Linked DNA regions of Oreochromis niloticus. The protein of the gene in region 1 binds, or shares a complex with, the protein of each later gene. Links are inferred from orthologs where the notes say so. Each region holds a gene or a part of one and is shown in the gene's direction. Other genes may lie near its edges.

Evidence for each region. The genes of interacting proteins can lie anywhere in the genome.
Region 2: the proteins of npr1a (region 1) and nppa are in contact, whole or in part, in a crystal structure (PDB 7BRG), measured with the Rattus norvegicus proteins. The link is inferred for Oreochromis niloticus from reciprocal best matches to the Homo sapiens genes NPR1 and NPPA. Residues at the interface, in NP_036745.1 of Rattus norvegicus: Asp90, Val115, Tyr116, Ala119, Pro120, Arg123, Ala139, Leu140, Gly141, Ile142, Val144, Tyr148, Tyr182, Asp184, Leu186, Gly187, Asp188, Asp189, Arg190, Phe193, Phe194, Val196, Glu197, Tyr200, Met201, Arg204, His213, Gln214, Glu215, Phe216; in NP_036744.1 of Rattus norvegicus: Arg126, Ser127, Ser128, Cys129, Phe130, Gly131, Gly132, Arg133, Ile134, Asp135, Arg136, Ile137, Gly138, Ala139, Gln140, Ser141, Gly142, Leu143, Gly144, Cys145, Asn146, Ser147, Phe148, Arg149, Tyr150.

Annotation. Positions count from the first base shown.
Region 1 is NC_031985.2:34,509,253-34,516,655, reverse strand, and holds the start of npr1a (atrial natriuretic peptide receptor 1), read left to right. Parts: upstream 1-4,396; 5' UTR 4,397-4,743; intron 4,744-7,403. UniProt on the Homo sapiens protein: Receptor for the atrial natriuretic peptide NPPA/ANP and the brain natriuretic peptide NPPB/BNP which are potent vasoactive hormones playing a key role in cardiovascular homeostasis.
Region 2 is NC_031984.2:35,514,028-35,521,809, reverse strand, and holds the start of nppa (natriuretic peptides A), read left to right. Parts: upstream 1-4,777; 5' UTR 4,778-4,874; coding exon 4,875-4,985; intron 4,986-7,141; coding exon 7,142-7,448; intron 7,449-7,646; coding exon 7,647-7,705; intron 7,706-7,782.

The DNA of each region.
Region 1 (7,403 bases):
CTGCAACCGTTGCCGAGGTTGTTGCATCTGAGTGGGTGTGCCGCTACGGGATACCTCAAGCACTCCACAGTGACCAGGGACGCAATTTTGAATCTGATGTGTTCTAGGGGGTGTGCAGTTTGTTTGGCATAGACAAGACTCATACAACGCCATTCCGACCCCAGTCAGATGGCCAGGTTGAACGTTTTAATGCCACTCTCCAAAAGATCCTGGCCTCCACAGCAGAGCGTTGCCATTGGGACTGGGACCTGATGATCCCGTACGCTGTTATGGCCTACAGGGCGACCAAACACAGTGCTACAGGTTTCACCCCAAACTTCATGATGTTTGGCCGAGAACTGAGTGAGCCAGTGGACCTTGTCGCAGGTCTACCTCCTGATCCAGACAACCAACCCTCAGCTCCAGAGTATGTGCACCAAATGCGTGAGCGGCTGGAGCTGGCCCACCTCATCGCCAGGGAAGCCCTGCGTGAGTCAGTCACGCGCGCAAAAAGGCAATATGACAAGAACTGTTGCCACACACAGTACAAGACTGGAGATCCTGTATGGTATCTCATCAAAGGAACACGTCACATCAAGAATAAGGTCAAAAAGTTCCTCCCATCGTATGAAGGACCATTCTTTGTCCTGGGGCAATTGGATGACCTGGTTTATCGGATCCAGAAGAACCCAAGGTCTAGAGTGAAAGTTGTCCACCATGACCAGCTAAAGCATTATCGCTGCTGCGAGCCCCTGGACAATACCTGGGTCCTTGATCAAGCTCATCAGTGGCCACCTACGGAGGTCCCACCACCAGCTTTAGAGGATGACCCAGCAGACCGTGATCTGGGTCTGCACAGTCTGTTCTCTACTGCAACTGGCAATGGCCCCAGCTCCTCTCAGCCATCTGTCTCTGTTGCAGCTGATCCCGCTCCAGTTGTGGTGATCCCATCGGCACACAGGACACATTTCTGAATTTTTCCAGCGTTTTATTCTTCCCAAAACATTTAAACATTCAGAAATAAATAATTTGGTTTGATAAAATGTTCTCATAAGAAAATGAAAAACTACGGAAATTAAAAGGTGCACAACTTTGTTTAAATTAAAATTAAAAATTTAGTTCATAAAAGAAAATTATATTTTTTCATTTCATTTTCCAATTTTCCTCCCACACTAATGAAGCTACTGAGTACGAAGTTCTTCAGTTATTACATTAAAAGTACCCAGTGCTGTTCATTATTGTAGCAGTGGGGTGAATTTAAAACTTTTCTATCAAACTGTTGCCATGTTTTGTTGTTTTCATGGCTCAGTCTGGCTACTTTGATTGATGTAATGTAGTGACCTCAGAGAAGAGCAGCAGAATGAGTGTGTACATGACAAATGGTTTTACTGTCTGTTAAAAACTGCAAACACAAGTGTTTGCAGTTTTGCAGACATGAGAAAGTGTTACCAGAAACACTTTCTCATGTCTGTGTTTTTTTAAATTGGAAATTTGAAGACGAACAAAAGGAAGTAAAACAACATCATTAAAGCTCGTCAATCAGTGCTTTTCTGTTAATACTCACTCAGTTACTGTCACCACTGGTTTTGGTAACAAGCTCACAGCTTTGAGCCGATTATGCACTTGTTCTCAAGATATGTCCCCCTCATAAACCTTTCTGGTAGCAGCTATCACAACCACAACAGGCAGAAGAAGATTTTTTTCAGCGTTAGATTTCATGCAGTTTGCAGTAAATTGTTTACCACAGACTTTTGATCACACAATTGTGAATTACAAATATTTTCCTCCTGAAAGTAAAACTTACAAATCCATTTGACATAAGGCTGCAAAAATCCTCCTGTCCACACCTTTCAGTCACAAATTGACTCTTAGCTTCTTCAATAATTCCAGAAGCTTTGTGCCGTTATATAACTCAACTGTGTCCTGTTTCGGCTCCAAGCCATGGTCAGCATCATGTTTCAGTCTGACTTAATTTTTTCTGGGCTCCACAAACAAAAGATTCCACAAAACCTTTCAGCTGAAAAACTTTATTAACAAACAACATTGGGCTGGTAGCAGCTCTGTGTGAAAAAGATGTGGACTCCTCTGGCTGTCACAGAAGCTCTTCAGATGCCACTCATATTTTTGTTTGTAGTGTCTCACCTTTTAAAGCAGTTTTTGCTTTAGTGCCTTTTGGATTTTCTGCTATCGTTTGAGTGCTTGATGTGCTTAGGATTGGTTTTGCACAGAAGCGGTGAAAAGACTGCACACAATATGCGAACGTCCAGATGTCACACTGTTCCTGCTCTGTGGGCTTTGTTGTTGTGGAGGTTTAATCAGTTTCCTGTGACAAATGTTCCCTGTGAGATTAATTCTGTGTGATTATATCTCAGCAGACAAATAATTTCCACAATTTCTATAAATATGGCTTTTATTTCAGTCACTATTTACAGTGTTTAAAAAAACACTAATCCCTTAAAAATAAATAAATTATAAAATAATCTTCAGAGGTACAAAACCATCACCTGCTGAAAAAATCAGATAGCCCATAAGCTGGACAGGGAAATGGTGTGTCACTAATTTAGAAGATCTTCATTTAGCCTGGGAAAAGAGTTTGTTGTTCTGTTTTTAAAAAAAAAGCCGTCCATAAAGTTTGAATTCATTCATGTGTTTATGCTAAGTTTGGTTTTCAGATCTCCTCGTTCAGGAATAACACTCATCCTCACAGCAGAGTCAGACCTGAGCCTTGGCACAACTTTGTGTGCCGACTGGACACTAAGAAACCGTTAACGGTGACTGAGTGCTCCTCTCAACTTGCTGTCTGCTGTCTCCTGTTCCAGGGTTGGATGTTCATATTAAACATGTTTCTACCTCATGCTCCTCCAACCACTGCCAGCATCTTACACTCAGCGAGCGCTGTGCAGGGGCGCCTCTTGAATTTTTTCAATGGATGACCATATGGCGACCACTAAAAATATTGGGGTAGCACACCAAAACAGCGCAGGGGTGTAGCAAAGGTGAGGAGGTTATGACAGGAAATCATGAGGGACATACAAAGTGACACAATACGAATGGCAAAATTGTATATGCAGGAATAAATAACAGGTTAATGTTTCAACTCATTGTAGGCTGTCTTCCTCTCTCTTGACCTCATGTTTATTAAAATAATACCAACATACAACAGCCTTGCTAGGATGGGCCAGTGTCCCCCCTGGCCCCTCCTTGTGGTGACCCTGGCTGTATGATGTCAAACAGAGAGGATATCCTCACAGTCATCTCATCATAGTTAGTTTACCTGTATGAAGGAAGAAAAAAAATGATAAAGTTTCTATTTTCAGATCAGCATTCACTTCATATGGGAATCACAATATCCCCGTATGAAGCTGTGCCTTCAGGTGTACAGTTCAGTCCCAACCAACAACCACAAATCATGTTTTCAGTAACTTCACGTTGTATTTTTCTCCAGTAGCCACAGCACAAGATAATACTTACAAGGTTCTGTTGGCAGAGAACAACCAATCAAAAGAGAGGAACAGGGTGCACTATAACCCAGACACAGAAGGATTATTCTGAATACGGAATCATGCAGTGTCTCTAACAGAATCAAGAATAAAAGGAGGAAACTGCTCACCTTAACTGTATTTACTGACTTTCTTTGGAGTCGACTTGCTGTATTCAAGTGTGACCTTTACAGTTAAATAAGAGAAACATTAATGTGTTTTCATTAACAGGAGAGAGTGGGAGGAAGGTAGGATACATGTGAGAAAGAGAGCAAGAGAGTCCGAGTATGAGGGTGGGTGGTGATCATTTCCAGGAAGAGGTACAGAGAGGGAGAGTTTGTGTGTTTCCAAGCGACTTCCTGGTATACCGGGTGTATCCTGTTAAAACACACATACACACACACGCACACACACACACACACACACACACACACACATTCTTTGGTTCTCTATGTATGTGTTGTGCATTAACTTTATGAACAATAACACACTTGCAGTGTGACGTCATGTGTGGCTGTTAATGAACTTTAAAATCTCTCCTTGCAAAGAGGTCAAAGGTCAGCAGTGAGTTCAGAGATGCTGGAAGTTTGATGAGAAACTGATCAGTCATTTAACTTGTTAACTGATCTTAGATAATTCTATGGAAGTTGAACTTTTACTGAGCAGAAGGCAGAAACACGACCATCTGTCTATAATCCATAATCACCCTCACCCACAGTCATTTTACTCGGGGTTCAATCAGACTAATCAACTGACTAGTACCGGTATCCAATCAATAAAACCAAGTGAGTAGCTGCAGGCGGCCACCAGGGGGCTCCATATCCACATGCTCACGTCAGCAGAGCGGCTTTATCCGGATTTATATAAAGTTTTTGATTAAAAGTAATATTTCAGTCTATCAGCGTGCGCAGAGCACGGCAAGGAGGGAGCGGGGCACTGCGAGCACACATATATATAGCATGTGTCACTTTGGTAACTGAATACACGTAGGTTCAAGCACGCGCTTCAGTTCGCGTTTTCAGGACTGCCCTCTTACCCTCCACACCCCCTCAGCAAAACTTGCGTGTGCGCGCACGGCGGGAGGCTGGATTATTACCGGGATGGTTTGTGAGCGCGGAGAAGCGGAAACGCGCCGGCAGTAGCGGGGCGCGAGCCTCCGGTGAGCCTCCGGTGAGACGGAGTTCCCACCGAGTGTTCACGAGGCGTCCTCCGCCGCGCGAGCTGCAGCTGAAAACAGCTGGATGTCATTCTGCGGACACACGGAGCTGCGCTGAGCGCCGAACAGGTAAAACAACGTCAGCCGCTCCTCTATTGATGAACTTACACAGGAGAAAGGCGCCGCGCGTTTAGCGACCAAGCAGTTAATCGAGTAGAAAGTTGTTTTTAGTTCTTCTCTTAGTCTCTGTCCTGGTCACGCTTTCAAATGAACGAAGACTCTGATTTTCCTTCTTCATCTTAACCGAAGTCTATCTGCCTTCAGACACAACAGCCCACCACTAAGAATACATTCAGTTCTACTTGATTTATACATCGCCAAATCACAATAGCAGTACCCTGCAATAAAGCAGTGAAAGCCAGCAATCATTAGGCACTTGGCGACACTGGAAAGGAAAAACTCCCTTTGAACAGAAAGAAACCTTCAGTAAAACCAGGCTGAGGGAGGGGCGATCGTCTGAGAGACTGGCTGGACATGAGGGGACAAAATATTCATAATCGATCGCGAGAATGATACATTTGGCATCCACGAGATCATTGACTGTTTTACATAACAATAGTATTATTATTAATAATTAAAATCATGTGTGAAGCACACAGACACTCAATGGTCAGATGGACAGTCACCTCAGAATGAAAGTGAGAAACTGTTTTTTTTTTTTTAGTCTGAGGTTTGATGTGTGCACAGATCCTGATCCTAAAGAAGCTGAAAGTTTAGAAACAGACCTCAATGTTGACAGCTCTTTGTTCCCTGAGTGATGTGTTTGAGTCTCACTGATGTTGCAACAACACTTATATAAGACTGAAGACGGGTCGGGCAGCTGAGTGTGTTTTACCTCCATCTCTGGAAAGTAAAGTTTTCATCAGCATCAGAAATCCTGATGTATTCAAAGACACTTCAGCCTGACTGAAGCTGGCCTATACTTCTTCTTCCTGTCAGATTTCCTGCTGCCTTTTCTCACAGCAGCCTGCTTTCACAGATTTATTCATGTGCTCATGTGTATGGAGAAATGTGGTGATTAAAGTCTGATTTTGTGTTTCCACATACAGAGAAGCTATGTACACATTTCAACATCACTCATCATATTTCTTTGCGTTACCTCCCACCATTTGGACAGACCCAGAAACACACGCTGCATTTGAAAGCTGGGATATGAGGGGGTTTTAATGGATTCTTGAGTTTAAAGAGGGACCTACATTTTGGTCAACAGCTCAACAACAGGTGTGAGTCATGTAGGCTGAAAGCCGAAGAGACCAGATCATCTGTACTCTAAATGTGTGGAATCATGAACAAATTAACATGACCATAACAACCATAACCCTTTACTTAAAGAAAATGCAATAAGGGAGATTTCAAAGTTATTAGGGAGTGCCCAATTCTGTTGATCTGGACGTAGCGTTTTCAGTGGTAGAAACATTTCGTCACTCTTGATCAGCTGATCAAGAAACTGACCTCACAGCCCATTGTTCACCAGTGGGGTTAGTTTGAGTCATTATGCAAATGTATGTAAAAGATTGGGGAAATTTACAGCTGAGACTGAAGAAGTCACTTGGATGAGTGATGAAATGTTTCTCCCACTAAAAACACCAGGTCCAGATGAATGAGCATGCATCAAGACTTATTACGGAGTGGTTTTACTCATACAGCACAGCTGATGAATTTGGAAGATAAGTGGCTCAGGAATGAAGGGTTTGACATCCCTGGTGCAGATACTGGTACTGCATCTGAAGCATGACGCCAATGCAGAAGCACTCAAATGTCCAGCAGGGTGCAACTGCTTTGGTCTGATTATACAGAAGTCTAGGGGAAAATGAGCCCACTCCTCACCTGATCTCCGACCTCATTACACACTTTCCTGATGAGTTCATGATCTCAGCCCCTAGTTTCAAATCTATCAGAATCAGAATCAGAGAGACTTTATTTATCCCCAAGGGGCAATTAAGATAGATACAACAGAGCAGCATGACGTTGAAGATAAGGACAGGGCATAAACAGGCAATAAGAATGAGATAATAAATACACAGAATATACATTATATACACTTTTAAAATTTCACCGTTTTAAAATTAAAATTAAAGTGACTGAAGTGACTCTATCCATCCATCCATTTTCTTTCACCCTGGACTGGTGACCAGTCTATGGCAGACCTGGTTTCAGTTCTTACTGAATAAAACATCAGGTACATTTTGGAGCTTATTTATTCACTCTCCTTGAAATCCAGTCATCCCTGGAGTGCATTTGATGAAAGAGAGCCAATTAAGTCAAATGAAATGATCCGAGCTGTCAAGTTGCTATAATGCGAGTGGACTGATTCAAGACATGTTCGTTGTTTGGAACAGCTGACGAACTAACGCTGACGCCGCTAACATTGTGTTATCTTTGACCTCTGCTTACCTCATTCCTTGTATTTTATGGGATGAATTAGTCCTGTTTTAGTATTTTTTTTTAATTTTTTTTTTTAGTATTTTTAATTCTCTCCTACCTTGTTAAAGCGACTCAACTCAACATTTTCTGCATTTGTTTCAAATTAAAAGCCCTCTTAGCTTTGCAGTACAGAAACTGTATGTCCATATGTCAGTGAGACTCTTATTATGGAAACCCAGACTGCTTTTATTTGAAGAACTCCGGAACATAAGTGGATAAACCGTGCACATGTGCTTCCTCACACAGGTGTTACTTTGTCACAGCACTGTATAAATGAGAGACAGAGAAAGATGACAAAGGCAACA
Region 2 (7,782 bases), on another chromosome or scaffold:
GGAGATTACACACAGGTGGGGGACACAGCTGGGAGTAATTAACGAGACAAGACAAGAGAGGTAAAACTGAACACACTCACATGAGACGCAGATCTTCACAATAAAACAGGAAACAAGAGATCACTTCACAAGGACGCAGACAGGACACAGAACTAAACCCACACAAAACATGAGAACACAAAACCTGCGAACAAAACCCCAAACCAGAACCACAGTAATATAATTTATCACAAATAATCAAAACACCAGAGAACCCCAAAACACTCCAAAATGCAAAATAAACCAAAACATAAGGAACTCAAAAATGCTGGGTCAAAACTGACCCAGAACTGTGACAGGTCTGGATTAGACCCAAGACATGCTGGAGAAATCTGTCGGCTGGCCTGGGAATGCCTTGGTGTTTCTCTGGATAAGCTGGAGGAGCTTTTTGGTGACAGGGAGGTCTTGGCTTCCCTGCTTAGGCTGCTGCCCCTACGGCCCAACTTCAAAGAAGCAGAAGAAAATGGCGGGATGGTTTATCGACTTCTTATTTTAGATTTACGGTTTTATTTAAGTGGTTGTCATGAACCATGAACCATGTGCATCATTCAAGAGTCTGGGGCTCTGAGGAAAAGTTGTGTTTTTTGGTTATAGTAAGAATATGTAATAGTTTTCATGTCATATTCAGCATTATTTTATTTTAAGTGCTGTTCTTTATTGTCTGTTTGAAGAATAATGTGCAATGATCATAATGCAACAATGTGAGGTCCCACACAAATAAGGAGCATGATTGATTATTGAAGAACATGATTATTGGTTTTAACGCCTTTGTTTAGACAGTTTTTGACTATTTAACAGTCTGAAAGGCTCATAATCAAGAAGCATGGTTCACAATCCTTCTTTAAATCACTCACCTCACCCCCGACCTGAACTAATCAATCTCTCATCTCTCTTAGAGTTACTGACTCCCCAGGTTCACTGACCACACTGTCCCTCTGACTGTTATAAGGAGTTACTCTGTAGTTAATCTGCACGATCTTGTTTGGCCAGACAGACGGTCCATGGACAAATCGATCATCCTCTCCAGCAGGCAGAGCCTTTTTTTTGGGGGCAACAAAAATTATGAAACACTCATACCGTCTATAAATCTATAGACCTTAACCAAACCGTCGTCAAGAGTAAGTATCCACAGCCTTTAATCAGCTCTGTCTTCTGATCTTTGCAACAGTATTTACTAAACTGGATTTTAAAAAATGAATTATTTGGTTAAAATCCAAAACTGAGATGAATGGAAATGCCACTGCAGAGGGATTTTAACCAATCCCCCTGCAGTGCCCCGGACCCTCATAAATGATCTCCTGAGAGACTTCTTTAGCATCTTCATCTTTGTGTTTAGATTGGGATTTTCCTCTACTTTTTTCTAAATCCTTAGAAGTCAGCTGAGCTTTACAGTGCCTTGTAGAAAACGGACTTTATGTCAAAGCAGGGGATTGCTTCTGTGACCTCTCTGGGTTTTTTGTTCGAGGGTGACAGGTGAAGACTGACCCCAGTTCAGATCCAGCTGGATCCCAGACTACAATTTCTCTCCTACCTGCAGAGTGCTATAAGTTTGAACTCCAATCTTGCATAATGGTTCTTGTTTTTTAGAAGATTCAATTTGTCCACCACGAACCGCTTTTAGCGGTGATGCAAGACTTTCCCCTTACAGCATCTTAAGGCAACTTTTATTGTATTTAGAACTTCTTTTTTTTTTTTTAAATGAACTGAAATTACCACCATGGCTTTCCTCCCCAGCTTCCACTGGGACCACACCACTAGGTTCGCCTGCTACCTTGGGGTAAGTAGAACTACTTCTTTCTTTAAACAACAATTTTTTGTCCTTCATCATGTTAAAGGATATCTTTCTGCCTCCCCCACATGTCGGGAACAAGAGTCCTTCAAAACCGCTTTCAGGTCTCCTTCACCCACTAACAATTCCAAATAGATCCTTGTCATACATCTTTTTGGATTTTATCACTGATTTGCTCCTCTCAGATGGAAAGACAGTTATCTTAACCACTGTGTACTGGTTCTCTGAGGCAGCTCACTGTGTGAAGAAGCTCCCTCAGCCTCTAATTTCAACGAAATTTAATTAAATTTTATATAGTACCAAATCATAACAAGAGTTGTCTCAGGGCACTTGAAATTGTAACATAAAAACTGTATAATAATACAAACAGCAAGTGCTTTGGATTCTACCGTCAGACAAATGGACAGATAGAAAGATGAAAGCAGGAAGTAGCAGCAGCCCGTGGTTGAATTATCCATAACAATCCATAACTTTCATGTTCATAGTTGTCTTGCGAATATGCACATAACTCACTCGGTGCTAAATCAATCACTGTTTAAAGTTTCAACCGGTTATCAGCCACCCCATTCCCATCCCATGAAGAGGAACTGGATGTGCTCTCAGCTCAGTCCCAGTGCACAGCTGCTGCATCTGGAACCAAATGAAGGCCGCCTTGCTTCGACCTGCTGACTGTAGTCACTGCCAGCTGACTGATGGAAGATCCCAGACTGATGATGTTTCGTATGGGCAACGTAAAAGTTGTGGTCTGCTCATAAAATTCAGATAAATTATCAACTATCAACTACATACAAATAAAATACAAAACTTTCAGTGACCCTTAGAACATGTTACCCTCACATCTTAAATCAAGTTCTGTTTACATTCTGTTATAGGTGGAAAACAAATAGTTGAACACTTGTGGAAATATGTTTGTTATTTTCTTCATCAAATGAGGAATTGGTAAGCTTAAGAGATGTTGGGAAGTGAGCTGTGTTTTTTGTTTTTTAAATTTTCGTTGTTTGGAGTTCTCATAACGTCAAAGCATCAAGCCATGACATTACGCTGTTTCAGGCTCTCCTGGCTCTGTTTTCATACAGAAGAAGAAAAACTTTTTATTCTCAAAGTTGGAACATTACAGTGCTAAAGCACAGGCAAAAGGTGATTCAATAAAACAAAATGAATCAACAACAGGGAGTTTTAAATGAATGCAGGTGTTGTGGCATGAGATTGAAATGAGAGAGCATGCCAAAGCTGGTTGGTCACGATCCACATCCATTCACCACAGCCACAGTCACTTGGTTAGCATCTTCCTCAAATGATGGAAAGGAGTCCAAACTGTGTTGATCTGAAGTGGATTCAAACAGCAACAACAATGATGAATTCTGGGTAATATAAATGCATTCCAACAGGTAGCAGTTCAATCATCAGGCCACAGATACACCTGCAGCAGCATGTCCAGGTTCACATTACTTTTCAATCTCACCCAGTGCAGTCCCTTTATATTCCTTCCTTACCACTCAGATTAATGTCCTGGTCTGCCCAAAGCCTGAAGGCAGGTAAAGGCACACTGTGCAAGTGTATGTGGCACATTTGTAATGCTGCAAAGCCGCATAAATCTCATCTTTTATTGCCCAAATATGTCACATTCCCCATGATCACCCAGCTCTAGCTCTGAAAGCCATCATAGGTACTACAAGGTCCTCTGGGAGCTTGATCAGCTATGGAGGATTGTCCCATGCCAAGAGTGTAAAGAAAAAGCACAAGCAGATAAAAAAAAGTTTTTGTATGTTTTAAACATGAGGTCTGTGTGTGACAATGGTATTAGTCTTCTCAGCAAAATGAAATGAATGATTCTCTAAGTATTATTTATTTATTTCAGTTGTGTTTAGTTTTGAGTAGCTTTGTGATTTTTTAAAATTGTTTTTTAATTGTCTCCAAAAGGGAAATTAAAATGACTCCTTAGAATTCAAATGTGCAGGATTATTAGGAGTCTGTGTGAAGCACATCCCTTATTACATGTGCCATTCATGTGCCTTATGAATGAGGGAACAAGACAAAGCTCCACCCATGACATGCAATCTCTTATCATAGTGCATTAAAGTCTGCACTTCCAAAATGTGCGATTGCAAAGACGAGGAGACCCTACAAACTAATAAAGACCTCAGGCTCTGGTTTGTCTGAATAATACTGTGGAGTTACAGTATAAAATGAGAACATGGTGTTTGTGTAACTCTTAACTGTGAAACACATTGAATAAACATTAAAACCCAAATATTTACTTTGTTAATATTTCTTTAAATATGTGAAAATTGTTATTTATAAAATACGTATGTATTATAATTGATTCTTGAAATTTGAGTCTATGTAATTCTTGTCTACTTTCTATTAAAGGTCACCCATTATTGAAACATATTTACAGTATACGCTTCTTCTTTTCTATAATACTCCCAGTTCATGTCTTTATCTACTGCACCTACAAGTTTAGATTATAGGCTGTATTATTCCTGCCTTACAAACTCATGACAGGAAGAAAATGCCTTCAGTTATGGTAATAAATCATATTCACAATCCTGTTTATATTCCTTTGACTATAACATTGTTTCCTTCCTGTCCTAATCTAAACCATGCAACCACAAGCAGCAGTTTTAACCTACTATGGTACGTTTCATTCTTGGGAGTGTAGACAGTGTTAAGTATATGCATAGTGAAACGACATTCTTCCCAATACACAGCTCGGAGATCCAGGATGGCTCCTTAGGTCATGCCACTGCTGGCTGGTAAGCATGATGATACACAGACACATATACTGTATACATAGACACATGCACAAACACACACACACACGCACACACACGTCACTTACCACCAAGCGCCACTTAAAGAGACATCTGACCAGTGGCCTTATCATTTAGAGGTGTCAGAATGCACTTGAGGCCGTCTACAAAATGATGGCACTGCCTGTCTGGTGCATGGTAAGTGTATGTAGATGGTTGTGTATGTGAGGCTGTCTGTATATAAAAGCTTGCAGTGCACGCTATAGTATCAGTATTAGCAGAAGAAACATAACATGAGAACTGAGGTTCTGTGGGGCGTATTGGCCCTGCTGTGTCAGCAAACACTGGTTAGCGGCCACATACTGGGGAGGCCCTCATCTGCTAATGACCTGGCTCAGCTCAAGGTAAGAAACCATGTCATACCTGTAATCAACACACCATTTGTGGAAACATTACACTGTGAAGGACCAGATACTTTGACATTCAAACAGAGAGAGGATCAAAGACAAGAAAGTAGCTGCATGAATAACATATTTCCTGTTATTAAAAATCATTCAAAGGCAGTTACACTGGTATCAGTGTCTTCTCAAATGCAGTTAGTGTACGAATACTACAAGCATTTCATAATTGCACTAATGCATCCACCCCAGTATAACTGATTTATGTTCTACTTGACAAAGTGAAGAGTTTTTTCAAATATAGTTTAAATCAGAGCACATGTTGACATGCTTTTCTATGGATTTGTGAATATTGAGAGGGAATAACAGGATGAAATGTTGACTGTTGTGATGACAACAAGAGGACACAACAACAGATCAGGCGATTACAAACAAAGCAACACAATGTGGAAAAGTAATTATCATTAGAGTGTGACCTCACATTGATCTGATCTCAAAGATATACCTGCTTTACTTTGTTCTCCTTATTTTCACTTGTAATTTTAACTTCATCACAACCTTCATCGTCATTCTTCCTTCATCTTATAATTAGCCAAGGTGAACTAGAAATTAGAGCGCTCTGCTTCCAGAATTACAAGCTGTGGTTCAGCTGTGGCTGAAGTAGACAGTTATTAAGGAGATTGCTGTGACTCTGACACAACACTGACATGACATGAACAAAACATTCACCTTTATTCCTGATATGCTGTTAATATTTGCATACCTATTAAATTAGGCAATAAAAACACCCACCATGGTTTTGAAAGTATGCAGCCTTTGGTTCATTGTGTGAACGTCACAATATCTGTGCACTGATGATAACTGTGGTATTTAAAAATTAAACATCGTGAATGATGGGTCCCTCTTGTTTGTTGTTGGCTGAGTGTTATGACTCTGTATCCAGATGGACTCTCAGACTTGGGACCCATCTGCTGACTCTGGCTACCTTGGTGGCCCCACACAACTCGTCACTGCTGTGTGTTTTTCAATTTGATTGGCACCTGAGGCATTGAGTGTGAGCATTGTTGACCAGCTGTCAGGTGTTCATGCCACAACTGTAAATTTTAAAAGCACTCTAGTGTTCATACAGTCATACTCATCCTTTACACCTCAAACTCTCACTTGCACCAACACATGCATAGGGTCTTGCAGTGCACACTATAGTATCAGTATTAGCAGAAGAAACAAAACATGAGAACTGAGATTCATTTCCTGTTCTTCTGATCTCCAGCCGCCCCCTTCTGCTCTTCAGCCACCCCCTATTTGTGTGTGTGTATATTATGGCTGGGTCTGAGTCTTTCTGAGTCTTGGCCACTGTGGGACATAGTGGTGGAGGGTGTGAGGTTGCCCTGCCCTGTCAGGTGCCAGGCAGTTCTCATCACCTGGGACCTTTCTTTTGGCTCATGCTGGGACAGCCAACCTCTTATGGGGTTGGTTACCCATTGTCTTTGGTTCTCTGGGGCCCTTGTCCTTTGGCTTTGGGGGCTCCATGTGGGGCCTCCCTCTTCCTTCACGCGGTTGTCATCGAGATGTGTGGCCTCAGGTCATCACTATTCTTGGGCGTCCGTGGACAGCCCGGGTCTCATGGTCTAATGGACCTGACTCTGGCTCCCCTGACTCTGGCTCCCAGGGGGGCGTTGTTGCAGCTTGTCACCCTCATTATCAAGTGTATTTTATGATAAACACACACACGCACTTGCACGTCCCACCTGTGATTGTGATTGTGCTCCATAAATCTGCTGGACAGGACGGGTTTATTAGGCAATAATCATGTCAAAATTGCTCATGTGATACTGATATGATATTGGTATAATTTTGAATACTTATGGTTACACTTGTATAAGCGTTAGGATTTAGTAATAGGTGAATTTGAGTTGTTACAGCTATTGTGATGCAAACTTTCCAATAAGGTATTTGAACAGACAAAAGAGGGAGGCTGTTCTCAAAAGTGTAGAAATAAATATGCAGCATAAACAGGTCTGTATTTTATATTTTTACATGATAACATCATGTTTTCAGATCATGCATGGCTGTGTGTAAACAGGAATATTTCTGGAACATCACCAGTGTCCAGGCTGCCTCTACATCCTGATTTATTAGATGCTTTATGATTTCTACAACAGTCTTTGCTGGAACGCTTTGAGGAGACATTGGATGAAGTGGTCCAGAAAGAAGACTTGGAAGCTTATTATGAAGACATGAACCAAGATCCCAAAAGCAGCCAGACCAGCCAAGGATGGGACCAAGAGGGGAACCAAGAACCTCTGATATCTGAAAAAGCCCAACCACTAACTGAGGGCAAGACTGTGAATCAGAGGAGCCGCCTCCAGGACCTGCTGATGGCCACCAGGAAACGCACCTCTGGCTGTTTTGGAGCCAGGATGGATCGAATAGGAAATGCCAGTGGCTTGGGATGCAACAGTGGAAGAGGTAGGACTGCAGTCGGAGACGCAAGACACAAATTTGAATTAAATGAGTTAAATAAATACAGAGCATTAGAACATGTCAACCCTTAGAAACATGCATGCAGTTGGATTTTGACTAAATGTGCAATCACATATTCTACAAGTTCTTAACTTAACTTGATGTGTTTTCTCACTTGTTATTCTTTCGGGCTGCTGCCTTTAGGGGTTCGCTCAGCATCAAGCCATCATCTGCCTCCATCACACCAGCCTTCCTCTGCACATGTACAAACTATCTCAGCTTTGCCTCTCTAACCTTAAACGTTGACCTTCCTTACACTTTTCATTGTAAACATGTTTTG